2 linked regions of the Mytilus edulis genome follow. The protein of the gene in region 1 purifies or fractionates together with the protein of each later gene. This does not show direct contact. Links are inferred from orthologs where the notes say so. Each region holds a gene or a part of one and is shown in the gene's direction. Other genes may lie near its edges. The genes, in order: NADPH--cytochrome P450 reductase-like and ER membrane protein complex subunit 4-like.

Region 1 (16,951 bases):
CCCCGAGGGTATCACCATCCCAGTAGTTGGCACTTGTGTGTTGACTTGGCTTATCATTAATATAATCTTATAAATTAACACCGCTTTGAATTTTTGAAAAAAACTAAGGTTTTTCTACACCAGGAATAAACTGTCTTACCTGTATTTGGCAAAACTGCTAGGAATGTTTGGTTCTCAATGATCTTCAACTTCGTCCTTTATTTTGGCCTTTCAACCATTATTTTGATTCGAGCGTCACTAATGAGTCTTTTGTAGACGAAACGCGCGTCTGGTATTTATGATGAGTTTTTTTTGTTATGCCGCTGCTGGGTGACCCCCCTAATTTTTTGACATTTTGTTCAAATTTTGAGCTCTAGTTTCAGATTTTTGAACATAGCGCCCTTCGATACGTAGCGCAAAAGAAGCGTCTGTTTCTCCTCTACAAGACCTATATAGTCATACCCCGTGACACCCCTCATTATTTTTCTCTAGAAGCCCTGGAATAGGCCGACCCTACCCCCATTTTTTGGACATTTTTTTCAAATTTTGAGCTCTAGTTTCAGATTTTTGAACATAGCGCCCTACGATACATAGCGCAAAAGAAGCGCCTGTTTCTCCTCTACAAGACCTATATAGTCATACCCCGTGACACCCCTCATTATTTTTCTCTAGAAGTCCTAGAATAGGCCGACCCCCCTAATTTTTTGACATTTTTTTCAAATTTTGAGCTCTAGTTTCAGATTTTTGAACATAGCGCCCTTCGATACCTAGCGCAAAAGAAGCGCCTGATTCTCCTCTACAAGACCTATATAGTCATTCCCCGTGACACCCCTCATTATTTTTCTCTAGAAGTCCTAGAGAAGGCCGACCCCCCTAATTTTTTGACATTTTTTTCAAATTTTGAGCTCTAGTTTCAGATTTTTGAACATAGCGCCCTTCGATACCTAGCGCAAAAGAAGCGCCTGTTTCTCCTCTACAATACCTATATAGTCATTCCCCGTGACACCCCTCATTATTTTTCTCTAGAAGCCCTGGAATAGGCCGACCCCGCTAATTTTTTGACATTTTTTTTCAAATTTTGAGCTCTAGTTTCAGATTTTTTAACATAGCGCCCTTTGATACCTAGCGCAAAAGAAGCGCCTGTTTCTCTTCTACAAGACCTATATAGTCATACCCCGTGACACCCCTCATTATTTTTCTCTAGAACTCCTGGAATAGGCCGACCCTACCCCCATTTTTTGGACATTTTTTTCAAATTTTGAACTCTAGTTTCAGATTTTTGAACATAGTGCCCTTCGATACCTAGCGCAAAAGAAGCGCCTGTTTCTCCTCTACAAGACCTATATAGTCATACCCCGTGACACCCCTCATTATTTTTCTCTAGAAGCTCTGGAATAGGCCGACCCCTCTAATTTTTTGACATTTTTTTCAAATTTTGAACTCTAGTTTCAGATTTTTGAACATAGCGCCCTTCGATACCTAGCACAAAAGAAGCGCCAGTTTCTCTTCTACAATACCTATATAGTCATTCCCCGTGACACCCCTCATTTTTTTTCTCTAGAAGCCCTGGAATAGGCCGACCCCCCTAATTTTTTGACATTTTTTTTCAAATTTTGAGCTCTAGTTTCAGATTTTTTAACATAGCGCCCTTTGATACCTAGCGCAAAAGAAGCGCCTGTTTCTCTTCTACAAGACCTATATAGTCATACCCCGTGACACCCCTCATTATTTTTCTCTAGAACTCCTGGAATAGGCCGACCCTACCCCCATTTTTTTGACATTTTTTTCAAATTTTGAACTCTAGTTTCAGATTTTTGAACACAGCGCCCTTCGATACCTAGCGCAAAACAAGCGCCTGTTTCTCCTCTACAATACCTATATAGTCATTCCCCGTGACACCCCTCATTATTTTTCTCTAGAAGCCCTGGAATAGGCCGACCCTACCCCCATTTTTTGGACATTTTTTTCAAATTTTGAGCTCTAGTTTCAGATTTTTGAACATAGTGCCCTTCGATACCTAGCGCAAAAGAAGCGCCTGTTTCTCCTCTACGAGACCTATATATTCATACCCCGTGACACCCCTCATTATTTTTCTCTAGAAGTCCTAGAATAGGCCGACCCCCCTATTTTTTTGACCTTTTTTTCAAATTTTGAGCTCTAGTTTCAGATTTTTGAACATAGCGCCCTTCGATACCTAGCGCAAAAGAAGCGCCTGTTTCTCCTCTACAAGACCTATATAGGCCTTCCCCGTGACACCCCTAATTTTTTTTCTCTAGAAGCCCTGGAATAGGCCGACCCCCCTTAATTTTTGACATTTTTTTCAAATTTTGAGCTCTAGTTTCAGATTTTTGAACATAGCGCCCTACGATACCTAGCGCAAAAGAAGCGCCTGTTTCTCCTCTACAATACCTATATAGTCATTCCCCGTGACACCCCTCATTATTTTTCTCTAGAAGTCCTAGAGAAGGCCGACCCCCCTAATTTTTTGACATTTTTTTCAAATTTTGAGCTCTAGTTTCAGATTTTTGAACATAGCGCCCTTCGATACTTAGCGCAAAAGAAGCGCCTGTTTCTCCTCTACAATACCTATACAGTCATTCCCCGTGACACCCCTCATTATTTTTCTCTAGAAGCCCTGGAATAGGCCGACCCCCCTAATTTTTTGACATTTTTTTTCAAATTTTGAGCTCTAGTTTCAGATTTTTTAACATAGCGCCCTTTGATACCTAGCGCAAAAGAAGCGCCTGTTTCTCTTCTACAAGACCTATATAGTCATACCCCGTGACACCCCTCATTATTTTTCTCTAGAAGCCCTGGAATAGGCCGACCCCCCTTAATTTTTGACATTTTTTTCAAATTTTGAGCTCTAGTTTCAGATTTTTGAACATAGCGCCCTACGATACATAGCGCAAAAGAAGCGCCTGTTTCTCCTCTACAAGACCTATATAGTCATACCCCGTGACACCCCTCATTATTTTTCTCTAGAAGTCCTAGAATAGGCCGACCCCCCTAATTTTTTGACATTTTTTTCAAATTTTGAGCTCTAGTTTCAGATTTTTGAACATAGCGCCCTTCGATACCTAGCGCAAAAGAAGCGCCTGATTCTCCTCTACAAGACCTATATAGTCATTCCCCGTGACACCCCTCATTATTTTTCTCTAGAAGTCCTAGAGAAGGCCGACCCCCCTAATTTTTTGACATTTTTTTCAAATTTTGAGCTCTAGTTTCAGATTTTTGAACATAGCGCCCTTCGATTTCTAGTGCAAAAGAAGCGCCTGTTTCTCCTCTACAATACCTATATAGTCATTCCCCGTGACACCCCTCATTATTTTTCTCTAGAAGCCCTGGAATAGGCCGACCCCCCTAATTTTTTGACATTTTTTTTCAAATTTTGAGCTCTAGTTTCAGATTTTTTAACATAGCGCCCTTTGATACCTAGCGCAAAAGAAGCGCCTGTTTCTCTTCTACAAGACCTATATAGTCATACCCCGTGACACCCCTCATTATTTTTCTCTAGAACTCCTGGAATAGGCCGACCCTACCCCCATTTTTTGGACATTTTTTTCAAATTTTGAGCTCTAGTTTCAGATTTTTGAACATAGTGCCCTTCGATACCTAGCACAAAAGAAGCGCCTGTTTCTCCTCTACAAGACCTATATAGTCATACCCCGTGACACCCCTCATTATTTTTCTCTAGAAGCCCTGGAATAGGCCGACCCCTCTAATTTTTTGACATTTTTTTCAAATTTTGAACTCTAGTTTCAGATTTTTGAACACAGCGCCCTTCGATACCTAGCGCAAAACAAGCGCCTGTTTCTCCTCTACAATACCTATATAGTCATTCCCCGTGACACCCCTCATTATTTTTCTCTAGAAGCCCTGGAATAGGCCGACCCTACCCCCATTTTTTGGACATTTTTTTCAAATTTTGAGCTCTTGTTTCAGATTTTTGAACATAGTGCCCTTCGATACCTAGCGCAAAAGAAGCGCCTGTTTCTCCTCTACGAGACCTATATATTCATACCCCGTGACACCCCTCATTATTTTTCTCTAGAAGTCCTAGAATAGGCCGACCCCCCTAATTTTTTGACCTTTTTTTCAAATTTTGAGCTCTAGTTTCAGATTTTTGAACATAGCGCCCTTCGATACCTAGCGCAAAAGAAGCGCCTGTTTCTCTTCTACAAGACCTATATAGGCCTTCCCCGTGACACCCCTCATTATTTTTCTCTAGAAGCCCTAGAATAGGCCGACCCTCTTAATTTTTGACATTTTTTTCAAATTTTGAGCTCTAGTTTCAGATTTTTGAACATAGCGCCCTACGATACCTAGCGCAAAAGAAGCGCCTGTTTCTCTTCTACAAGACCTATATAGTCATACCCCGTGACACCCCTCATTATTTTTCTCTTGAACTCCTGGAATAGGCCGACCCCACCCCCATTTTTTGGACATTTTTTTCGAATTTTGAGCTCTATTTTCAGATTTTTGAACATAGCGCCCTTTGATACCTAGCGCAAAAGAAGCGCCTGTTTCTCTTCTACAAGACCTATATAGTCATACCCCGTGACACCCCTCATTATTTTTCTCTAGAAGTCCTAGAATAGGCCGACCCCCCTAATTTTTTGACATTTTTTTCAAATTTTGAGCTCTAGTTTCAGATTTTTGAACATAGCGCCCTTCGATACCTAGCGCAAAAGAAGCGTCTGTTTCTCCTCTACAAGACCTATATAGTCATACCCCGTGACACCCCTCATTATTTTTCTCTAGAACTCCTGGAATAGGCCGACCCTACCCCCATTTTTTGGACATTTTTTTCGAATTTTGAGCTCTAGTTTCAGATTTTTGAACATAGCACCCTTCGATACCTAGTGCAAAGGAAGCGCCTGTTCCTCCTCTACAATACCTATATAGTCGTTCCCCGTGACACCCCTCATTATTTTTCTCTAGAAGTCCTAAAATAGGCCGACCCCCCTAATTTTTTTACATTTTTTTCAAATTTTGAGCTCTAGTTTCAGATTTTTGAACATAGCGCCCTTCGATACCTAGCGCAAAAGAAGCGCCTGTTTCTCTTCTACAAGACCTATATAGTCATTCCCCGTGACACCCCTCATTATTTTTCTCTAGAAGTCCTAGAATAGGCCGACCCCCCTAATTTTTTGACATTTTTTTCAAATTTTGACCTCTAGTTTCAGATTTTTGAACATAGCGCCCTTCGATACCTAGCGCAAAAGAAGCGCCTGTTTCTCCTCTACAAGACCTATATAGTCATTCCCCGTGACACTCCTCATTATTTTTCTCTAGAAGCCCTGGAATAGGCCGACCCCTCTAATTTTTTGACATTTTTTCAAATTTTGAACTCTAGTTTCAGATTTTTGAACACAGCGCCCTTCGATACCTAGCGCAAATGAAGCGCCTGTTTCTCCTCTACAAGACCTATATAGTCATACCCCGTGACACCCCTCATTATTTTTCTCTAGAACTCCTGGAATAGGCCGACCCTACCCCCATTTTTTGGACATTTTTTTCGAATTTTGAGCTCTAGTTTCAGATTTTTGAACATAGCGCCCTTTGATACCTAGTGCAAAAGAAGCGCCTGTTTTTCCTCTACAAGACCTATATAGTCATACCACGTGACACTCCTCATTATTTTTCTCTAGAACTCCTGGAATAGGCCGACCCTACCCCAATTTTTTGGACATTTTTTTAGAATTTTGAGCTCTAGTTTCAGATTTTTGAACATAGCGCCCTTCGATACCTAGTGCAAAGGAAGCGCCTGTTCCTCCTCTACAATACCTATATAGTCGTTCCCCGTGACACCCCTCATTATTTTTCTCTAGAAGTCCTAGAATAGGCCGACCCTCCTAATTTTTTGACATTTTTTTCAAATTTTGAGCTCTAGTTTCAGATTTTTGAACATAGCGCCCTTCGATACCTAGCGCAAAAGAAGCGCCTGTTTCTTTTCTACAAGACCTATATAGTCATTCCCCGTGACACCCCTCATTATTTTTCTCTAGAAGTCCTAGAATAGTCCGACCCCCCTAATTTTTTGACATTTTTTTCAAATTTTGAGCTCTAGTTTCAGATTTTTGAACATAGCGCCCTTCGATACCTAGCGCAAAAGAAGCGCCTGTTTCTCCTCTACAAGACCTAGAGATCGTTCCCCGTGACACCCCTCATTATTTTTCTCTAGAAGTCCTAGAATAGGCCGACCCCCCTAATTTTTTGACATTTTTTTCAAATTTTGAGCTCTAGTTTCAGATTTTTGAACATAGCGCCCTTCGATACCTAGCGCAAAAGAAGCGCCTGTTTCTCCTCTACAAGACCTATATAGTCATACCCCGTGACACCCCTCATTATTTTTCTCTAGAACTCCTGGAATAGGCCGACCCTACCCCCATTTTTGGGACTTTTTTTCGAATTTTGAGCTCTAGTTTCAGATTTTTGAACATAGCGCCCTTCGATACCTAGTGCAAAAGGAGCGCCTGTTTCTCTTCTACAAGACCTATATAGTCATACCCCGTGACACCCCTCATTATTTTTCTCTAGAAGTCCTAGAATAGGCCGACCCCCCTAATTTTTTGACATTTTTTTCAAATTTTGAGCTCTAGTTTCAGATTTTTGAACATAGCGCCCTTCGATACCTAGCGCAAAAGAAGCGCCTGTTTCTCTTCTACAAGACCTATATAGTCATTCCCCGTGACACCCCTCATTATTTTTCTCTAGAAGTCCTAGAATAGGCTGACCCCCCTATTTTTTTGACATTTTTTTCAAATTTTGAGCTCTAGTTTCAGATTTTTGAACATAGCGCCCTTCGATACCTAGCGCAAAAGAAGCGCCTGTTTCTCCTCTACAAGACCTATATAGTCATTCCCCGTGACACCCTTCATTATTTTTCTCTAGAAGCCCTGGAATAGGCCGACCCCCCTAATTTTTTGACATTTTTTTCAAATTTTGATTTCTAGTTTCAGATTTTAGAACATAGCGCCCTTCGATACCTAGCGCAAAAGAAGCGCCTGATTCTCTTCTACAAGACCTATATAAACATACCCCGTGACATCCCTCATTATTTTTCTCTAGAACTCCTGGAATAGGCCGACCCTACCCCAATTTTTTGGACATTTTTTTCGAATTTTGAGCTCTAGTTTCAGATTTTTGAACATAGCGCCCTTCGATACCTAGTGCAAAAGAAGCGCCTGTTTCTCCTCTACAAGACCTATATAGTCATACCCCGTGACACCCCTCATTATTTTTCTCTAGAAGTCCTAGAATAGGCCGACCCCCCCTAATTTTTTGACATTTTTTTCAAATTTTGAGCTCTAGTTTCAGATTTTTGAACATAGCGCCCTTCGATACCTAGCGCAAAAGAAGCGCCTGTTTCTCCTCTACAAGACCTATATAGTCATTCCCCGTGACACCCCTCATTATTTTTCTCTAGAAGTCCTAGAATAGGCCGACCCCCTAATTTTTTGACATTTTTTTCAAATTTTGAGCTCTAGTTTCAGATTTTTGAACATAGCGCCCTTCGATACCTAGCGCAAAAGAAGCGCCTGTTTCTCCTCTACAAGACCTATATAGTCATACCCCGTGACACCCCTCATTATTTTTCTCTAGAACTCCTGGAATAGGCCGACCCTACCCCCATTTTTTGGACATTTTTTTCGAACTTTGAGCTCTAGTTTCAGATTTTTTAACATAGCGCCCTTCGATACCTAGTGCAAAAGAAGCGCCTGTTTCTCCTCTACAAGACCTATATAGTCATACCCCGTGACACCCCTAATTATTTTTCTCTAGAAGTCCTAGAATAGGCCGACCCCCCCTAATTTTTTGACATTTTTTTCAAATTTTGAGCTCTAGTTTCAGATTTTTGAACATAGCGCCCTTCGATACCTAGCGCAAAAGAAGCGTCTGTTTCTCCTCTACAAGACCTATATAGTCATACCCCGTGACACCCCTCATTATTTTTCTCTAGAACTCCTGGAATAGGCCGAACCTACCCCCATTTTTTGGACATTTTTTTCGAACTTTGAGCTCTAGTTTCAGATTTCTGAACATAGCGCCCTTCGATACCTAGTGCAAAAGAAGCGCATGTTTCTCCTCTACAAGACCTATATAGTCATACCCCGTGACACCCCTCATTATTTTTCTCTAGAAGTCCTAGAATAGGCCGACCCCCCCAATTTTTTGACATTTTTTTCAAATTTTGAGCTCTGGTTTCAGATTTTTGAACATAGCGCCCTTCGATACCTAGCTCAAAAGAAGTGCCTGTTTCTCCTCTACAAGACCTATATAGTCATTCCCCGTGACACCCCGCATTGTTTTTCTCTAGAAGTCCTAGAATAGGCCGACCCCCCTAATTGTTTGACATTTTTTTCAAATTTTGAGCTCTAGTTTCAGATTTTTGAACATAGCGCCCTTCGATATCTAGCGCAAAAGAAGCGCCTGTTTCTCCTCTACAAGACCTATATAGTCATTCCCCGTGACACTCCTCATTATTTTTCTCTAGAAGTCCTAGGATAGGCCGACCCCCCTAATTTTTTGACATTTTTTTCAAATTTTGAGCTCTAGTTTCAGATTTTTGAACATAGCGCCCTTCGATACCTAGCGCAAAAGAAGCGCCTGTTTCTCCTCTACAAGACCTATATAGTCATTCCCCGTGAAACCCCTCATTATTTTTCTCTAGAAGCCCTGGAATAGGCCGACCCTCCTAATTTTTTGACATTTTTTTCAAATTTTGAGCTCTAGATTAAACAATGACATAAAAGGTGCTATATTTTACAGGGTAGGACTACTTTTACATACGTTCTAAATTGAAGAGGGTGCATAGGTGGCCCTACACCTACAAATAATCCGTTGATAGATGCATAGTTATTGTGGTACTGAATATTAGCCTAAAAAGTTATGCGACTTGTTAAATCAATAGATTGGATAAAAACCATTTCAAAATTGAGTTTAAATTGCTATATTTTAACTGATTTTCTGCCTTTTTAAATATTTTTTTATTTAACGGCCGTTGTTGTCTTATTCTGTTTTTTGGTTTCTCGATATATCGCCTTATTGTTCGATGGCTTATTGTTCGCTAGCTATTGTTCGCTAGCTTCTGCCTGGTTTTAAATTGTTTCAAATTTGTCGTATGGGAACCTTGATAGGATAGGTTTTGCTCTTAGTGAAGCCGTAGCAACAATACTAGAGTTGCTAAAAGTCGCTTGCAGTGGCGGATCCAGAATTTTTGTAGTTGTGTCCCTTTGTGTGTGTAAGGGGGGACTGACTACCTAAGAGGGGGTCCGCTCTGGTTCCTACCCTTAATCCACCCATGTTTTGTTTCAGTTGAATAATTATCTCATTGGCAAACTCAAATCGACAGCTTCAGTCTTATTCTATACAGATATAGGAAGATGTGGTATGAGTGCAAATGAGACAACGCAGTCTCCATTCAAATAACAATTTATAAAAGTAAACCATTATAGGTCAATGTACGGCCTTCAACACGGAGCCTTGGCTCACACCGAACAACAAGCTATACTGAAGGGCCCCAAAATTACTAGTGTAAAACCATTCAAACGGGAAAACCAACGGTCTAATCTATATAAAAAAACGAGAAACCAGGGAAACACGTATAAATTACATAAACAAACTATTGTACATCAGATTCCTGACTTAGGACAGGTGAAAAACATTTGCGGCGGGATTAAACGTTTTAATGGTACCAAACCTTCTCCCTTTTTCTGAATTTAAACAATAGCATAAGATCACAACATTGAAAAACACACGATAAAATATCAATTGGCAGGCTTAACTCAATCAAAAAACGTAAATTAACACACTATATATATATGAACGACTAAATTTGATCTGTGATATCTAAATGCAAATGCACAGTTTATAAAATATTAGGGACAAACATTCAAGGCCAAAATACAAACAAACAAGTCCAAGCAAAGCCATGGCAAGAAACCACTGCAAAACATTTAACCCTTCGAAAATAATCACTTTTGAAAAAAAACCGGTTTTAATAATACAGGTAAATCTTGAAGTTTATACAAATGTAGTAAGAAAAAGTGAAAATTAGAAGATATTCTAAATAATCAAAGCTGGTATATATAGACAAGATCCATATTAATATAAAATAACAAAAAAACATTATAAACAGTGAGTATCAACAGGTCGAATTAACAAGAAAATATGTATAGGATATATTCAGAGTGGCATAAGTTCCCTGGTTAGACACAGGTGTATTTTTTTTTTAATTTATGCTTGACTTTATCTTTATTGCTTATTTGATTTGGTCGATTAAAAAAAGTTTCCCCAAGTATAAATACCCCCTTAATTAAATCAGTTGCTTATGATAAATAACCGTTGACTTAAAAATCCCACCAGAGCCTTATAGTGAAATTCGGAAAAAATACGGCTTACTTTCGGATAAGATTTATTATAAATATCCTTTCTCACATCCGGTGATAATTTTCGTTAACCCATTGGAAGGATTTAGGCCCAAGGCCAGGGTTATGTAAAATCTGTGAATCTCTACTAATATCCATGAAACAAGTTTATTAATTATTTACATCATACGACTTAGAACAAGCCAGGTAATGTATAATTAGCATAAACAAAGTATAAACAGTAGAATTAGGATAATTGCAGGACGAGACCCATAGTGATTAGTGAAGTAAAATTGTATTTACAGTGATAAATCTTTAATTCATTGTATATATACTGGCTTTAAATCTTAATGTCATTATTTTATACTGTGGTAAACATGATTAAGCCTTAATATGTTACTTTTCTAAGCGGCATAAAATTCTCATCGTAATGATTACGTGACAAATTGTCGATCTAGATTATGACCTTTCCATAATTTCTATCATTCTAATAGATGATGTAAACTGTGTCATTTCTATAAAAAGGCATATTTCGATGACAAGTTTGTTTAACTCTGACTATTGATGTAAAGATCCTGACACAATAACAAAAATGAAATGTGCTACTTGTACATTGTTTGTACCATTTTCATATTATTATCCACTTTTGACTTCAGGTTTTAAAATTATTTGACAGGTTACCTTCATGTACTCCGTGGTGGGACATCCAGGTACTCTGTCAATTATGAGTATCCAAAAATAAGTAGAATCAAATATATGATCTGTGCAATTTGGGAGGAAATTTACTATTTTTTGATGATTTTGTTATGTGTAGAAAGCATTGAACAGTCAACTTTCCCTCAAAATGGACTGATTAAAATCTTTGGTTTACTGAATTACATTGCTCCTGCTTGACAAAGTACCTGGATGTTCTACCACACCTATCGAAAAATGTTAATTCTGGAGTCATAACTTGATATTATGAAAGCCCTTTCACAGTTAGTTCGGTCATACTGGATAGGGGGCAGATTATTTTGAAAGAGGTGGATGCATGTTTCAAAACAACTGCTCTGTTTTAACAATGTTTTCCCGTATTTTTCACACCATTTGTACCTCCATTATGAAAATCTGCCCCCTAACCAATATGACATACCTAACCGTGAACGGGCAACCTTAAATACAACATTACATGTACAGTATGATTAATTAACGTACATTTATTCCAAGTTAACCATCCTGTATGTACACTGTGCATTTTTTTTTGCTAGTATTTGACATTTTCTCATTTATGAAATGAAGAAAATCTCATGATTTCTGATCAATTCTTGTTATTCATGCATTCAAATTTGTAATTTTTAAGTAAAAAAAGTAAAGTGCAAAATTTTTAACTGGTGACAAATTTATGACAAGTTAACCACCTCAATTAAGCTTTTACCTGATGGGTCATAAATGATCATCAAAATTATTTCATACAAATAGAAACAGTCAATCTGCATATCTTCATTTGGTTACAGAATCGTAGGAAATTGTTTATACCACACATTTATCTTTTACATATTTTGTCATTGCCTGTCCTCACTTTTGATATAGATTAACAAAACAGGATGCTATAAGTTGAGTCTATTGTGTAACTGTTCATTTTTTTTGTACATTTAATGTATAATCTTTCACAGAGTAGGGTCTCACTCAAAGGCAAAAAGATGACACAATTATAATTTGTCCTAGTATTGAAAACTTAAATACCTACTCATGATCTGTCTACATACATGACCTCTGTCTTTTGGACTTTTAGGTTAAGGGGGTCTTTTGATTTATGGTGAAAATCAGTGTTAAACTGTCAACTGGGTTTTTATTTTTTGGGGGGGGGGGGGCTTTGGTCATAATTTTTTGACCATTTTTTCTCTATTCTGTATTATTCATATATATAAATATATATCAAAACATTTATCTTTTCTGTAGCATATCTGTAACTATAAGCAAATTATACGGACAGGATTAGTGACCAATTGATAGATTCATTATATTAGTTCCATCACATTACTTATCAGCCCATGTTTTGAGACATGCAAATCAAAATATAAACGTAACAATATATATCTTTTGAAGAAATAAAATATTTTATTTTAATCCTAATTATTATATTTTTATTTGAACATGTATATTGATCATGTTGATGAAATACTGAAAAAGAAAAAGGTCATTTTTTTTCATTTATTAAACAGTGCAAATTTAAATTAATCAGCAATGTAATCTTTAAAAAATTAACCCCCTTTTTTTAAGGGCATTAATCTTTAATCATTAAACCCCATCCAAACCTACAGGCATTTCCATGACCAATTTTGTTATGGCCCACCCCATGATAGTTTGACTGTCTTCCCCAATCATCAAACAATCCCCACCATGGTTCTGCATTGTAAGAAAAATGCAAAAATGTACCAGAGATGGGTCCGATTACTTTCAATGTAATTGATTAAATTACAATTACTTTGTCATTTGTACGATTAAATTAAATTAATGATTACATCATTTCTGAAAGTGTCTGATTAAATTAATGATTACATTGGCAAAGTAATCATGATTACATCTGATTACAATTAATTAAAAAAAAACATTTTGAATGATGTGAATGAATTAACGTTTAATATAACTATAGTTCTTTCTAGAAAGGTTTTGTTTTACATATTTTAAAATTATAACTTCAAACTTGATCTATTTGATAAACCACAAAAGTTCACTACAGACATACATGAACATTGTGTCACCCATTACACATTATCTTCATTGATCTCTGAATTATTTTGACTTCAATTGAATATGGCTTTATAAAGAGTTTGCTGTTTGTCTTCTGACCTCTTCCAGACTTTATATGTAGTTCAAGGTGCAGTTTTTGGAAGTTAAAATATGGTTGAAATAAAGTTACCAGATAAAATTATGTAAAAATTTAATAGAATTGTTCAAACAAATTGTAAAAATATACAATTACCATAAGTCAATGCATTTTACATTTCCAGGCCAAGTACATACAAAAATTAGCTTATTTTAAACAAGATATTTGTCCAACTTTTAATTGAGTTTGTGCTAATTAGATAAATTTTCACATGTCTGATTAATTTTTTATCATAATATATATATTGTCCTACAGCTATACTCAATTGGAAATTGCAATAAAAACAAACCTTAATTGGTTTCCTACCTGTCAATTCAAAGTTGACAATAATCACAATATTAACAAAACATTATAATTCAGGGTTAAAGAAAAGTATAATATTGCTTAAATATAACAGTTTTTTTATCAAATATATATATGTACATCTTTGAATTGTGAATAAATGTACATATCTTTTACTAAGGCCTTTTCAATCTTAGGCTTTTGATGGCTTTTTAATATTTTAACAGTTTATTTTTTACTGAAGTATACACATCAATTAACTTGCTTGATAAAGTAAGCCAAACTATCTTAACTTCTTGAATAAGAATAACAAAAAGGTTCATTTATTAACCATAAACACAGTTCAAGATTTTTTCATTGTAATCAGAATGTAATCAAAATGTAATCAGAATTACAGGGCATTTTGAAAAGTAATTGATTAAATTAAATTACATGTAATCAGAATTTTGGCTGATTAATGATTACAATGATTACTTGAAAAATTGTAATCAATTACAGCTGATTAATGATTACAATTACAATTACCCCAAGTCTGAAATGTACACCATCGTTGAAAGCGTAACTAGTCTACTTTTGTTTTTCTTTTGCTATTCCCAACCATATTCACCACCATATGTTAATTAATTCACTTATATTTGGTATGCAGTTGTATTACGGGTACATGTACTAGTAGCATTTTCAAATTAAGCCTCATTTCCATGCAAATATTATGCCCCTCGCCTTTTCATCATGGTGTATTGACTCTGAGATATTGCATAATTTTTTTAGAAGTTGAAATTCATAATGGGACAGCGGAGTACAGAAAATACAGAAGGGAGGTTTATATCTAGCTGGAATAGTAGATAGAACTTGTAAACTTATCTGGGTGCATCTAAAAACACCTATATATAAATTTCGATTTGTCAATGTGTGTCAATGTATAGTTACGGTATAAATTCTTGTACCTCTCATATTGTTATTTTATATCTTGTATGAGAACCAATATTCTTACCTTCATTTGTAACCTGACCTGTATAAGTCAAACACCTGTCAAGTTAGAACAAATCGTTGTAAGGAAAATAATGTATTGTGTTTAGTACTTGAAATCATGAACTCTCAATGTCAGAATTGATATGAAATTAGAGAACCAACATGTTCATATGGCTTCCCTCATTTTATGAAAATTTGATTTATATAATACCAGTATGTAGTATCAGTGGTATTAATTTTCTCAGGGTTGTTTAGTTTAAATTATTTTTGACCTTCGTATATGTTTATTTGTTGCTTGCTGGAGATGCTTTCACATGTTTCACATAAATTTTGGAGTTAAATTATTACCGGTACTTGGATTTTTGGTAAGCATGGTAAGTGAATACATTTACAATGTAGACTTTTTGTTTCAGATTTTTTTTTTTTCTTTTTTTTTTATAGTTGTTTACAGTACGGTATTTTTAAATGTTAATTTATCAGCCTTTTGGGAGACAAATAATCTAGAAGTTATTACAATGTAGTGACTCTTAAAAAAAAAGTTTGACAATGAGACAACTATCCACCAGCCTGACCAGAGGCCAAATTGAAGGGGATGCCAACATCTACATTATACAGGAAACATTACTGCATTCAACAGTGAGCACAACTTTTGGTATTTTTAAATGATCATCCTTTTGGGGAAAGGTAGAAGTTATAAGTGACTCTTAAATAAAATTAAAAAAAAAGGTTTGACAATGAGACAACTTTCAACCAGAGTCCAAAATGAAGATGATGTAATTAAAATCTACATTGTAAAGGTGACATCACTGCGTTTCCCATACAGTAAATATAAAACTATCAAAAGTCCCTGCATGGTAAAATATAGGCAAATGTAAACCTTCTAAAGAGAAAACTGATGGGCTGATTTTATTGGCTACTTCAAAACAGATTACCAACATGAAAAACAAACCAAATATTTTTCATAATTATAGCCTGTAAACCCATATTTTTTAGGAGTAAACAGCAAATTGTAAATTTGCTATATTACAGGAATACTTTTTATTGTTTTGAAATAGTCCCTTGAATTAAAACAGTTTATTGATCAACTTTCTATACATGATATAGGTTGTAATACTCTTAAAAAATTGCATAAGACTTTATTGTAAAGAGTTTAAACGTACTGTTTGCTTATAGTTATGTATATTCCCTTTAACTATGAACATGGTGAAGGTACATTGTAGTAATTTTTAGTACATGTAGGTCAAATTTCACTGAAATTCAAAATGAGTGATATCTTAAACCACAGATTAAAAGGTTATGCTTTAAACGGTAAGTAGTGGTTTAATTTTTGTATTACATTGTTTTTCTACTTAACTTAAATGTACTTAAGAATAGGATTAACGTCCTTGATGTGTTTCCTTTGCATGTTAAAAGTTACAAATCAGATGCAGATTCAGGATTTTGAAAAAGGGGGACATGCCCTCAAACTAGGCAATGTTGAGAGTCGGACATGCCCTCAAACTAGGCAATGTTTAGAGTGGGACATGCCCCCAAACTAGGCAATGTTTAGAGTGGGGCATGCTCCCAAACTAGGCAATGGTTAAAGTGGGACATGCTCCCAAACTAGGCAATTTTTAGAGTGGGACATGTCCTCAAACTAGGCAATGTTTAGAGTGGGACATGCCACCAAACTAGGCAATGTTTAAAGTGGGACATGCCACCAAACTAGGCAATGTTTAGAGTGGGACATGTCCTCAAACTAGGCAATGTTTAGAGTGGGACATGCCACCAAACTAGGCAATGTTTAGAGTGGGACATGCCACCAAACTAGGCAATGTTTAGAGTGGGACATGTCCTCAAACTAGGCAATGTTTAGAGTGGGACATACCCTCAAATTAGGAAACAGATTAATATATAAGCTAACAGCTTGTTTCTGGATCCTTTTAATTATTTCACCTGTATTATTATTATGTAAATGCCTATTTGTGTACATTACTTTCCCTGAAATTAATTAATAAAATATGTTTACACTAAACTAGGCAATGTTTAGAGTGGGACATTCCCCCAAACTAGGCAATTTTTAGGTGGAACAATTGCCCCAAACTAGGCAATATTGAGAGTGGACATGCCCCCAAACTAGGCAATTTTTAGAGCGGGACAATTGCCCCCAAACTAGGGGGACATGCCTCGAAACTAGGCAATATTTAGAGTCGGATATGTTAAAAGTCTATGCATTAACCATATAGGTAGCTCTTGAAGGGACCTGAACCCCTTAATAACCCTCTTTTATCATTAATGTGTTTTATAACAACAGTGTGAAAAAAATGAGTTTGGTTTTTGCTTATTAATGAAGACTATTCTGACCTATATAATTTCTTATATTCATGTCATTTATCCCTAGTTGTATTGTTTTCTCATTGGTTAACGTACCCAATTTTCTTATTGTTTACTCACAGTAAATCCTTTAATGGCATCAAATTTTGTGTTTGGTGAAAAAAAAAGC
Region 2 (13,282 bases), on another chromosome or scaffold:
CTATCTATCTATATATATATATTATATATTGTATGAATCTATCATATTATGAATAAAAGCTGTGGCCAGATATCGCCAAACCATATATGTATTTTGTTTTAATGGCACCATCTGAGATAATAGAATTTAAGTTAATAGACTTAAATTCAGTTATCGCCGGGGCCACTCACGGATTGTGTTTCATGTTTTAGATTTACCCAACATGTGTGACGATATATTCTGTGACGTCATTTAGTCCTTTTTAGAATTTTCCGCAGCAAGCAAGCTGTTTAAATTTTGTAAGCGGTAAACTTGAAAACCCGCCCTCCCACTCCTTTTTATTGAACAAGATACTGCTCTTTTGTATTTATTTTTCAGGTTTGTGTCGGTGATAGTGATGATACAGATTTGACTGATGATGTTAACTTGTTTGCTGTTGAGAAAAGTGACTTTTATTTGAACTTTGAGCATCATAAATATATTCCCGTAAATGGCAGAATTCGCTGCATAGAATCTTAATGTTAACTATGAAATTTTAGGTTTTTGGATAATACAGACTACACTTGTGTATCCCACGGTGTTTTCTAAATTTAAAGCACCAGTGTATCCCACGGTGCATCTTTACATTTTCATATATATCTATCTTCACATCTATCTATCTACCTGGTTGCCATATTATCTTCGGGTAACCGACCATAGATCTATCTACATATACATGGGTCTATGGTCTATCTATCTATATATATATATTATATATTGTATGAATCTATCATATTATGAATAAAAGCTGTGGCCAGATATCGCCAAACCATATATGTATTTTGTTTTAATGGCACCATCTGAGATAATCGGGCTTCATGAAATGAACTAGATTAACGCCAAGATGTTTTTTCACTGTATATATGATGTATTCTGTAATCTGTTATCGTAGTTCTGCCAATGAAGGCACACCTCCATTCACAAAGAGGAAAATGTATTGCACAATTCATTTTTTTGTCGAAATTTAAAATGCGCATCCAAAAGTGGCAAAATAACCAACTTATTGATCGTGGCCGCGTATGGGAAGAAGTAGAAGTAAAAGCCATTTTTCAAAAACAAGCAAATTTGCTTTTACAAATCTATCTCAATCAATCTGCTCTTATATTTATTAAGAAAGTCTATATCACATTCATTTGATGTGTTTTATCATTAAAATTTGCCATTTGATTAGAGACTTTCCGTTTTGAATTTCCTCGGAGTTCAGTATTTTTGTGATTTTACATTTATATTAAGATATAATAACTTACTTATCTTATTATTCAAAACACTGATAAGAAAAAAAGTATAATGGACCGAAACGACCATGACCGAACTTGTGTATGGCTTAAACGATAAAGACCGAACAGATTCTTGGCCGAAACGTCTCGGTAGCAAGAGGTTTCGGTCATGGAGCTAAACTGGACCTTGGTTAGTTCGGCCTTGGTCGTTTCGGCCATGATTGATTCTCTTTATTTCCTCCATTATACTAAAGATTTACAATTATACTTATTACAAGAAATCACTTCGGTCATGTAATAAAAGAAGTTTCAGTCATACATTTGTACCTTTATTTTGTATTCAGATAGATATGGGATGGAGGTGGACTGTGGGTGGGGTCTTTTTTAAATCTAAATCCTTAGAATTTGTTAATAATTGATCAAAATGTAGTTTTTGTCATGTTTTTTTTCAAAAATATGATAAAAAGTATGGGGTTCAACGGGATTTTGTTCACGCTACAGGTTAGAATTTGTATATATTGTCATCATGAAAAACAAAATTGTGTGTGATGAAAAGAAATCTACACTGCGTTTTGTTATGCGTGTACTTTCTACATTGGCTAGAGGTACAGGGGGAGGGTTGAGATCTCATAAACATGTTTAACCCCGCCGCACTTTTGCGCCTGTCCCAAGTCAGGAGCCTTTGTTAGTCTTGTATTATTTTAAATTTTAGTTTCTTGTGTATAATTTGGAATTTAGTATGGCGTTCATTATCACTGAACTAGTATATCTGATATTTGTTAAGGGGCCAGCTGAAGGACGCCTCCGGGTGCGGGAATTTTTCGCTACATTGAAGACCTATTGGTGACCTTCTGCTGTTGTCTTTTCTATGGTCGGGTTGTTGTCTCTTTGGCACATTCCCCATTTCCATTCTTAATTTTTATAAAATGGGTAAATTCACCACACAGTCTATTATAAAAACACCTTTTTTGAGCTGAGGCTATTATACTAGTATAATAGTTCCAGATCTGAGCTATAATCACCGTTATATCTGATTTATCTACCCTTGCGTTGCAAAATACAGCTGTAAATATGATCAGATACATATAATACAGAGACATATTATATATGTCTCTTGTAACTTGTATTCTATAACTTTCTCCAATAAAGGAACACCTTAATCAATGAGTATTCCACTACCAGATCAAAAGTACATATATCTTAATGTTTTAAAAAAAAATTCACACAGGTAGACATCTATCATCATTAAAAAGAATATTAAAAGTGTTTTGTATATACATATGTACCGGCATAAAAATATAAGCTAGTTCAATGTCATGAAAGGAGTAGGTCCAGTAAGACCCCTTTTTGGCCCCAAAATATAGCAGTTTTACAAAATTGTTAAAATGTAAACTTTTAGTTATTTATTGGACAGTAGAATGCTTCTGCTACATAAATATGGGCTGTTTTTGACAATACAATGCACATATATCGGGTACTAGCACCATTAAGTCGTACTAAATTACTGAAATCTTCACAATTCTAGCATTTTAGTTAAATTTCAGACAGTTTTCGTGTGAAACGAAAGTGGCTGCATTCGTGTTCATCCTTAATATTGAAATGTAAGTTGTATTTTATGATAATACATAACATATATAAAGGTTGAGGATGAACACGGATGCGGCCACTTTCATTTTTGACAAAAATCATCTGAAAAGTGACATTTTTCGGCATATTTGGTAGATTTTTCATATTTGAGCTTAAATCGGGTTGTTTTTAATGACTAAATCAGTTAAAATCTTTCAAATAAATTAATTGATTCAAATGAAATAGACACTTTAGTGTTTGAAAAGTGGTCAAAATCTTTCGTAAGATGAACCTGAAATTTGAGGCCAAAATCGGTCCTTACCGGACCTACTCCTTTAAAATTTAAAACTCTTCCAAAATATTTACAGTTTATTTACATGTATATATATGATCAAAAGAAATCGTTCTTCTGCAGGTTGGCTGGTTTTACTTAAGACAGTTAACTTATATCTGCATTACACAGTGTAGTGTGGCCACGTACCCACGCTTACTGCTTCATATGACTTTATTGAATGATCTTTATTGGGCTGCGTTGTAGTAAGTTTCAGTGAAGTGTGGCGAGATCCACGCTTACTCTCGGATAAATGATGACATATATTTAGCCTCTTCAGTAAAGTGTGTCGAGATCGACGCTTTTATTGTATTGACGAGTAGGGGAAAATTTTCCCCTACTTTGACGTATATGTTAGAAGGCGTTATAGACTATGGTTGAGCTGACAAGTGTGGCGAAATCCACGCTCATTTTGCATTAATGTTGAAGTCACTTCCTAGTTGTGTTAGTAAAGTGTGATATGATACAACACATCATTTTCTATGTGAACATGAAAAGTCTTACACATAAATAACATACTGTTTTCGACACAATACAATAAAGATCTAGACCAATTGGTATCTGCTATTTAAAATTCAAGATTGAGGAAGACACCACAGCCTTAAAAGAGATTATGTTGTATATACTTTCATTTATTTACCCTTTTTAATAAAGGGGCACTAAATGTCACATTCATGGTCACCGATTTGACTCAAATTCTCATATTTGATTTATAACAATGTATTTTTAACATTTATCCAAACTATCAAAAGTATAAGATAAACAGTTTACAGAGCATCGGGTAGATAATATATAGGTTCGTTTCGTGTGTATTCTAATCCAGACGCCATCTAATTAACTATCGATTTGACCTCAGATGACCATATAAGCGATGAAAACATAAATAAAGATATGAATAGATTAAAACAGGTATAGATTAAACATTGATAAACCAACACTTGCAATTGGATTTTTAAAAGTCTGTTTGATTTTATTTTATAGATTAAAAATAGATGTTTCTCATTGTTTTTAACCGTATAAGAATGATTTTATGTCGGCATCGAATTAGTAATCAAAATTAATGATTTACCGTAGTTTCACTTTCATTGTTGAAATTCTTTTTCTTTAAATAACCAGTACACGTACAATACATGCGTTGTCAATCTCTAGCTAGAGGTTAAATTGAAGTTACATGACTGAATACGGATTTAAAGAGGTCGACTCATTCACTTGCAAGTGAATAACTAATTATCAATGTTTCTTAGCGTAATTTGACAACATTGAAAATTTTGGGCTGCAAAAAGCGAATTGTTATTTCACTATTTCACTTTCATTATTGATTGAACAGAAAAAAATCAAACTTTCGATTTTTTTATATATCTCGTAGCTAGTGCCCCTTTAAATTAAAGGATTGGTCGATGTACGCTTCTTAAAAACATATGACATTCTTCCAAATAGTTTTTCACAAAGTTGTTGCGACTGTCATACAAGTGAGAGGTTTAGCTAGCTATAAAACCAGGTTCAATCCACCATTTTCTTGTTTAGAAAATGCCTGTACCAAGTCAGGAATATGACAGTTGTTATCCATTCGTTTGATGTGTTTGGACTTTTGATTTTGCCTTTTGATTTTGGATTTTCCTTTTGAATTTTCCTCGGAGTTCGGTATTTTTGTGTTTTTACTTTTGTGTAATTTCAATTGAAAAATATAGTCAAAGATCTGTCAAAATACTTTGGTGCTATATATAATCCAGTCCTTGATATAATATTGCTGCAACTTTTCAACACAAATAATGAAGGACGTTAGGGTATGTAATTTAGAAATAAAAGTACTGGGTAATAGATACATTTATGCTGCGGAACTAAAATAACTGGATCCTGGTTGAATTGGCATTCAGTTTGCCGATTCAAATACAAAACGGGTACCAGGTAAAACAGAAAATGTCACGAAGAAAGTTGCACAAATGGTCAATCGACTTTACTGGAATTGGTAGACCCAAAGGAGAAAAAGCACTGGTTCAGTTAAACACAGATTTAAGGAAACCAATGGGTAAAACATTTGATCCTTATTCTTTACAATCGTATGAGATTTACTAAGAAACAAATTATTGTGATTCGTGTGAACTAGTCCAAATAATTATGAAGCTTTATATGGTTCTGTTTTGACGCCTTACAGCAAGGAATTGTTTATTTAAAAGGAATGGAAACGCGGCTTATGCATCTCTGACTTAGACCGTGTTAATTACACCCCATCGCACAAACTGGCTCGTTACTTATCCAGTAGCAGTTATCAAACTTGGTCATTAATCATGAAATGAAACAAGGAATTGTCAATTTAGATATACAATTTTTTAAATGAAATAAACAGAAAATACAACCTTAAACAAAGTTTCTTCTGAAAAACATTTTTATTCTTATTCCTCGTCTTTATATTTCTCGAATGTATGCAAAATTTAAGGTCAATTTAAAGATGAAATTCAACATTATACGAGTTTTTAAAAGAAAGGCAATACAAATAGTTTAAAAAAAAGATAACCTTAAAAAAAACTTTTCCATTTTGGAATATGACTGGTGTAGAAAAGTATAAAAGGGGAAGTACATGTATGTGAACAGATGTTGTATTTTAGCTAGACAAAAGAACTTAGATTATAGGTGTTATAATAAACACCGGTATGGGATATCTTCTTCTTCTTCTTCTTCCGTTAAGGAGTTGACCTCATATTTGAGTGATTTACTAACTCCGCTCGGTAAAACAGGAGGCTTCTCCATTGATTAAAAGTGAATATTAACAAAATAATTAAAACTATTTACACTGTACAATTTGGCAAACTGATGTCTAGTTAGGCTGCATCTGGGTCCAGGGCACACTGGCTAATTTGGCCCTGAACTCCTCGAGTGTTGGTGCAGCTGCTACTGTGTCTGGCAGAAGGTTCCAGTCCCTTATAGTCTATAGAGCGTGGGAAGAAGGAGTTGTTGTATACTTCCTTAGTAGCTCTTATCTGTCTAAGTCTGTGGCCACCCCTTGTTCTGTTGTCCCCAAGTGTGTAGTAGATAGCTGGTTGTATCTCCACTAGTTGGTTCTGTATCTTGTAGCATAGTACGAGTCGCTGTTTAATTCGTCTATACTGTAGGGGATCCCACTGGAGTTGGTCTAATAATCCAGTGACGCACCCTGGGGAAGTGTCTGTGTACTGGTTGTAGACAAATCGTGCTGCTTTACGCTGTACCCGGTCGCTGTCTTTGATCAATGTGGTTTGATGGGGGTCCCACACTGTGGCAGCGTACTCAATCGATGGTCTGATGAGAGCACAATAGGCTGTGTTTTTAACAGATGGTTTGCATCGGCCCAGGTTTCTGCGGAGAAAACCGAGGGTCCTGGTTGCTTTCCCTGTGGTGTTAATAATGTGCTTATTCCACTGTAGGTCTTGACTAATGGTCACTCCAAGGTACTTTCCGCTATCAACAACTTCTAGTTGGTGTCCGTGCAAGGTGTATGTTGTTTGCAGGGTGTTGCGCTTGTTAGATATCCTCATAACTGTGCACTTTTCTGGATGGAAACACATCTGCCACTTGTGTTCCCACTCTTCCAGAGCAGTGAGGTCTCTCTGTAGAGTTGCAGCATCATCAGGATTTCTAATTTTTCTGTACACCAGGCTATCGTCTGCAAACAACCTTACATCTGAAGATGTACAATCTGGCATGTCGTTGATATATGTCAGGAATAGTAGAGGACCTAAGACTGTCCCTTGTGGAACTCCTGATAGTACATCTAAAGGAGATGATGTATGTCCTTCTAGTACAACTGACTGGGTTCTACTGCTTAGGAAGTCCTTTATCCAGTTCAATGTTGATCCTTTCACCCCGTAGTATGCCAGTTTCAAAAGCAGGCGTTCGTGTGGTACCTTGTCAAAGGCTTTTGAAAAATCCAGTAAGATGATGTCAGTCTGGTGCCCCTGGTCCATGTTTTTGGCAATATGGTTTAGTGTTACCACTAACTGGGTCTCACAGGAACGTCGACTTCTGAAACCATGTTGTTCGTCGCATAGAATGTTATGTCGATCAAAGTGATCCATGACTGTGCTATGTATAATGTGCTCTAGCAGTTTGCATGCTATGGATGTTAATGACACAGGCCTGTAATTAGAGGGTTGGTGTTTCTCTCCTTTCTTGAAGATTGGCACGATGTTTGCCTTCCGCCATTCGTCTGGAATCTTACCCTCGTCCAGGGAACGCTGGAACATCCGGGTAAGATAAGGAGCTAGTGATTCAGCTGCCTGTTTGAGAATGTTTGCTGGAACTTCATCAGGGCCTGTTGCTTTGAATGGTCGTAGTCCCTTTAATAGTTTGTAGACACCTCTTTCATGGATGACGATATTGTCCATGGTTGGATGTGGACTTGTGCCTAGGTCAGGTAGCGTACTGGTATCTTCTTTGGTGTACACTGACTGGAATTGCTGGTTCAGTATAGATGCCTTAGTATCTGTGTCACTATGTAGGAAGCCATCTTTTGACTTCAAGGTCACAATCTGGGATGCATCTTGTTTCCGGCTCTTCACATATGACCAGAATCTTTTAGGGTTTTTCTGCAAGTCGTCGCTTACTATATCTTCCATGTAGTTACTGTGTGCTTGTCTAGCCTCCTTCTGTAGTTGTGATTTCAGAAATTTGTATTTCTTTATGTCTCTTGTTTTCCCACTGCTTTTGGCAAGGGTATAAGCCCTCTGCTTTTTGTTACTGAGTCGTCTAAGCTCTGAGTTCATCCATGGGTGGGAATGTTTTGTTAAGGTGTTCCTGGTTGGTACATGTTGGTTGATGGCATCTAAAATCAAGCCTTTTATGTTGGTCCAAAGACTGTTGACATCCTCAAAATCTGTGTTTTTAAAGATGTTGTATTTTTCTTTGAGGTGTTGATTAATCATGGCGATGTTAGCTTTTTTCCATAGATATATTTTTCTCTTTTGCTGTTTGGGTTTTTGTAAGCCTTGTGAAAAGTCTAGAAGAACAATATCATGGTCACTGTTCCCGAGAGGTGGTATGGTTTTACATCTATTGAGTTGGCCTGGATGGGATGTAAAAAGCACATCTAAGGTGTTATCTCCCCTGGTTGGTTTGTCCACCAACTGTTGTATATTTAGGTTGGCTGCCATTTCAAGAAATGCGTTGTTAATATCTCTTGATGTTTGAGTACCCTGTATTGTGTAGTTTTTCCAGTCAATGTCTGGTAAGTTGAAGTCTCCACCAAGGATGAAAATACTACTTTTGTGTTTTTTGCGTAGATCAGTAATGTCTTGTATTGCATTGTTTGCAGTTTGTTGATCAAGCCTATTTGGTGGTCTATATAAGCAGGTTATTATGGCTTTCTTTTTCTGGTTTATGTTGATGCTCCCAGATATGAGTTCTGTGTCTTTCCCTGATTTAAGATGGCTAAGTCCAAGTGTTGTCTTTGCTGCTATGAGGACTCCTCCATGGGCGTCTGTTTTCCTGTCCCTGCGTATGACATCGTAACCAAGTTCTGGGGGGAAAATTTCACTTGTGTTGATTTTGTCGCATAACCAAGTTTCAGTTCCTAAGATGATATCTGGACGAGCGGACTCCAGCATAACCTGGAGATCATTTCTTTTATTCTTTACGCTTTGAAAATTGATAAGCAGTACTCGGAGTTGCTTCTGTGACTTTTTGTTGGATTGTTGCTGGCTTTTAGTATGGGTGTCTGAGCGTTTTGGTGATGATGATGCTATAGGGTCACCTATACTAGTGTCAATTTCAGATGATATATTTAAATCAGTTTTGCTCACTTCTGATGTACATGATGATAACACTGAGTAGGTGTTGCTATCAGCTGAATCAATCAGATCATAGAAAACAGTTGAGTGGTTAGGAGCGTTACATACTACGCAATACCATGAAGCTGATATATTTGCAAGGCTTGAATATTCCTTCGAGTCAATGCCTGTACAAGGTGCGTGGTACCAATTATTGCATTCATCACATGCAAGAGCTTTTTGTCCCCACCGACAAGCTTTGTCGCATATGGCACACAAGTATTTTGGAGTTCTTGGGCCTGGGTTTCTTTCAATACCACCTATTAATAATAACAGTTTTATATATGCAGAGTTCTTATCTTTAAGTAACTTCTCGTTACTCCTGTAATTAGCTGTGATTTTAATCCAGTGATATAAACATGTGTCTGTTGATATAGTTGTTACAGGAATCAGAGAGATTGAGTATTCTCTGGACGTATATCTAGTTGTTTGTATATGTAAGGGGCTATGGTGTGTTTGTCTTACCGTCGTAGCCAGGTAGAAATAGATGACTGTGAACCACACTGACATTGTTTATGTTTTGAACTAGACCGGAAGTGGTATTCGTGATGAGTTTTCGATCTGTTTGAGTTTCGAATCAAAATTGAAAAAAGTTCATTTTCCTCCTGGTGGTCCTGGGGTAAGTATTTACAGATGATTGTGTTGTGAGATAGTATGTGACACTTATCTGATCGTGGAAATGTACCAAAGATTGTTATAAATAAGTCATGTAAGTGTTTTAGGTAAAATTTCAGGTAGTCAAGATATCCAATTTGCAGGTATAACCTATCATGTATCATTGATAAGCTAATTCTTGTCGTATATATATAAAAGCAGGAACAATGTATACTAACTATAGGTTGTCCCTGATTTAAGGTGTCAAAAACAAATAACGGCTAACACACCTGTTAATTAATTTAATTCTAAACCATGTGGTGGTGCCATACAAAATTTAACTAGAAACAGTTAAAACTTTCACACATTCACATATTATTTATTTTAACACCAAACAATGCCAAAGGAGTATTTTCGAACTCTTAAACTACTGCTCTTCGAGAAAAAAGGAAGGAACTGTTTTGCTTTTAAGCTTATGGTAATTTGCGGCAACGCTTAACAATGAAAAACTGCAATACCAATCAACGATAAAGTATAAAAATAGTATTTGACAAAAATAAAGAAATAAAATTGTATATAAAACGGCACAATCAATCCCAATAGAAAGTCTTATATACATTTCTTGCCTGTAATTTCCAACTTCGTCAGTGCAAAACGTGACTGAACAAATTGGGGTCAAAGTGAAATATAAACAAGTGATTTTGAAAAATAATAGCAAATTCGTTTTTATCACCATTTTCATAAAACCAACACTATATAATAGATAAAAGATTAAGCTTTTAAATTGTATGTCAATGTCACAGCTATTCCAAGTAGATATTTAACCATTACCAGAATACGGCGTGTTGGTGTATATATTGATGCACTACTTAAAATTTTCAACATGTTTCGAAATAAAATCATTTAAGTTGTACCAATGATATTAAGCATTCGTAATTTAGACCAAACTGTAGGAAATTACTCCTTCCTTAAAACGATATCTCATTTTCTCACTTTGTTCTTTCTACTTTCCAATATTTAGAAGAAATGGTATTACACCTCAAGATTGAAAGTCATGTTTTGACAGAATAATGAAATTCAAAACTGAAATTTCGAAAAATTGTAGAAAATTCAGAAATGTTACCAGAAACTTAAAAAAGTGCATAACGATAGAATAAGGTTTCAGATTGTTCTAGAGCCGCGTTTCCATTCCTTTTAAATATACAATTCCTTGCTTACAGCGACGTTATAACGCTGGAGTTATTTTTTTTGATTTTGAGAGGCAATTTTGTGCTCACATTTGAGACCCAAATTAGCCATAAAAGAATCATAGACACACATTCTTACCTTTTATGTGTTAGTTTGTGCAAAATATTTCCAATTATTTCTTGAAGTAATGATAAATTATGCTACTATTCCATACGAGGCAGAAGGTTATCTACTGCTTTTTTTTAAATGTTTATCTTATTTCTTTTAAAAATGTTTTAATAGAGTATAAACATGATAAAATAAATGTACAATGCACCAAACTCGCTAAAAGTTTACAGGCCCTAATTTCTTTGTGAATTTTCAATAACAAATAGCATGCAATACCTTCCCTTTTGATCAAATCCAACTTAATCAAACTATTTAAGGTGGGTCTCATTGGGGTCCAAGCGTGACGCGGGATTTTTTGCCGATTTTTTTGTAAGAGTGACATGTGAAAGTCAAATTATTGTGCCGTGAAAACAGGAAATAAAGTGTAGTGGGACATGGGAAATTACAAAAAATTAGAATGGCTTACTTACATAGTGTCAACGGGATACGGGAATCTGACAAAACAGTAAGTGGGATCCAGTAATCAGAACCCCCCAATGAGACCCCCTTAAAGTAAGCATGTAGCCTATAGCTATTTTATTCTAGGATTCAATAGACATGATATAGGTATTAAAATTCTTGATTTTTGCAGGATACAATGAAGATGCTACAGTAGCCAGACATGATGACAAGGAGGATAGTCCTGATACACAGAAACTCATTGATAAAAGATCATGGGATATTGCACTAGGACCTCTCAAACAGATCCCTATGAACTTTTTCATCATGTGGATGGCAGGAAATTCTATTTCAATATTTCCTATTATGATGGTTGGGATGATGTTTTTCCGACCTTTTCAAGCTTTGATAAGTATTCAGGCTACATTTGGTACAATAGAAGGAAGCAGCTCATATCTTCAAAAAGCTGTATATATCTTGGGAAATATTGTTTGCCTGGTATTGGCTGTTTATAAATGTCAGGTGATGGGACTTTTACCAACACATTCATCTGATTGGCTAGCATTTGTAGAGGCCCAGCATAGAATGGAATGGTCAGGTGGCGGAGCAGCATTTTAACAAATTTAATGTGTTTATTTTACAGACTTTCGATTGCAACAGGAAGAGATAGAACTATCATTTGAAATATTTTTTTCCATTGTAGAATAATGTCCAAACTACAACTCAACAAAATATTGAAATTCTACAAAAAAAGTATGACAAAGAAAGAAAAAGAAAAAAATACATTTCCTGACAATATTTTCACAACCAGAAATTTAAAACTAGATTATGTACAAGTGCAATAAATATTATATTGTTCCCTTTTTAAAACAAAAATATGTACATGCTTATCAAAAGAGGTGTTAACATATAAAAGAATGAAAAGAATGAATTATTTGTACTGATATATTAATAAATTTATGTCAAGTACTCTAGTACTCGTCTCTGATCTTTGTGTTGTCTGTCTTGTTTTGTTATTATGTTGTGTCCTACATGTACTTTAATTGAGTTTTACATGAATCTTATTTTCAATGGCTGTTATTCTGATTTATCTGTTTATAGTATTTTCAACTTCAAAATTGGAAACAAATAGAATTTTAATTTACATTCACAACTTTTGTTTTGATTTTAAATGGGTTTTAGCTCAGTTTTTAAAGAGTAAAGGTACAAAAGAAATTATAATTCACAATTGATGTGATTTTATTATAGGGTTGCATATAGAAATATGGTCACTTATAAGAGGGTGGTAAATAGGGGTGCTTACATGAAAAAACGTGAAATAAAACCTAATTTCACTTTGAACGTGAATAATTTCTGTCATGAATGTTGCACGAAAAATAAATACTTTGATTTGAACATTTTGTGACTGAGTCATTGTCTTCTTGTGTATACATTAACTCTGTTTTACTTGATATTCCCGATTTAGTATACACATTTATGATGTAATTGGTTTACAGCTTTTAAAAAAGTATTTCTTGACGATCCCGTTTAAATTTTATTTGAAAAATACTGAGCACACAAAATAAGCATTTGAAAATCAGGATGCACGTAAAATTAAATAAGCAGAACACATTGAACGAGGCATCTCTCTTGCATGACTGATTCTCAAATAAAAAAGTAAAGTTGAACGTCAAATAATAAAAGGCGATCGACATTGCACAAAATTAACCCTTTACCACCCTCTTATAACATTCATTATAGTAGTTGAACCCATCTGAAAAGAGGCTTTCATTTGGCTGTTTGGGATGTATGAATACACAGCCATATTTGGTCAAAATTTTATGCTTATTAAATAGAGTTATGCTGTCTGCATGTTCAAACTTCAAGTACATTGCAACAACTCTTTTGGGAGTTCAAAGGTTGCCTTTTGCAATGACAAATTTCAGCCCTATTTGTACAAATTTACAAGTTTTTGCATTCTTACATGTTTTTTTCTGCTTACTTTTACATATTTAAGCCATTTAATTATAAAATAGAATAAGATT

What was found.
Region 2: the proteins of NADPH--cytochrome P450 reductase-like (region 1) and ER membrane protein complex subunit 4-like purify together in Homo sapiens (affinity purification with mass spectrometry; 3 studies listed by BioGRID and IntAct, with this or other methods). This does not show direct contact. The link is inferred for Mytilus edulis from reciprocal best matches to the Homo sapiens genes POR and EMC4.

What each region holds. Positions count from the first base shown.
Region 1 is NC_092349.1:17,111,747-17,128,697, reverse strand, and holds the start of NADPH--cytochrome P450 reductase-like, read left to right. Parts: upstream 1-10,430; 5' UTR 10,431-10,559; intron 10,560-15,572; exon of another isoform or gene 15,573-15,777; intron 15,778-16,951. UniProt on the Homo sapiens protein: This enzyme is required for electron transfer from NADP to cytochrome P450 in microsomes. It can also provide electron transfer to heme oxygenase and cytochrome B5.
Region 2 is NC_092345.1:104,074,954-104,088,235, reverse strand, and holds the start of ER membrane protein complex subunit 4-like, read left to right. Parts: upstream 1-4,969; 5' UTR 4,970-5,049; coding exon 5,050-5,158; intron 5,159-11,451; coding exon 11,452-11,876; 3' UTR 11,877-13,282. UniProt on the Homo sapiens protein: Part of the endoplasmic reticulum membrane protein complex (EMC) that enables the energy-independent insertion into endoplasmic reticulum membranes of newly synthesized membrane proteins.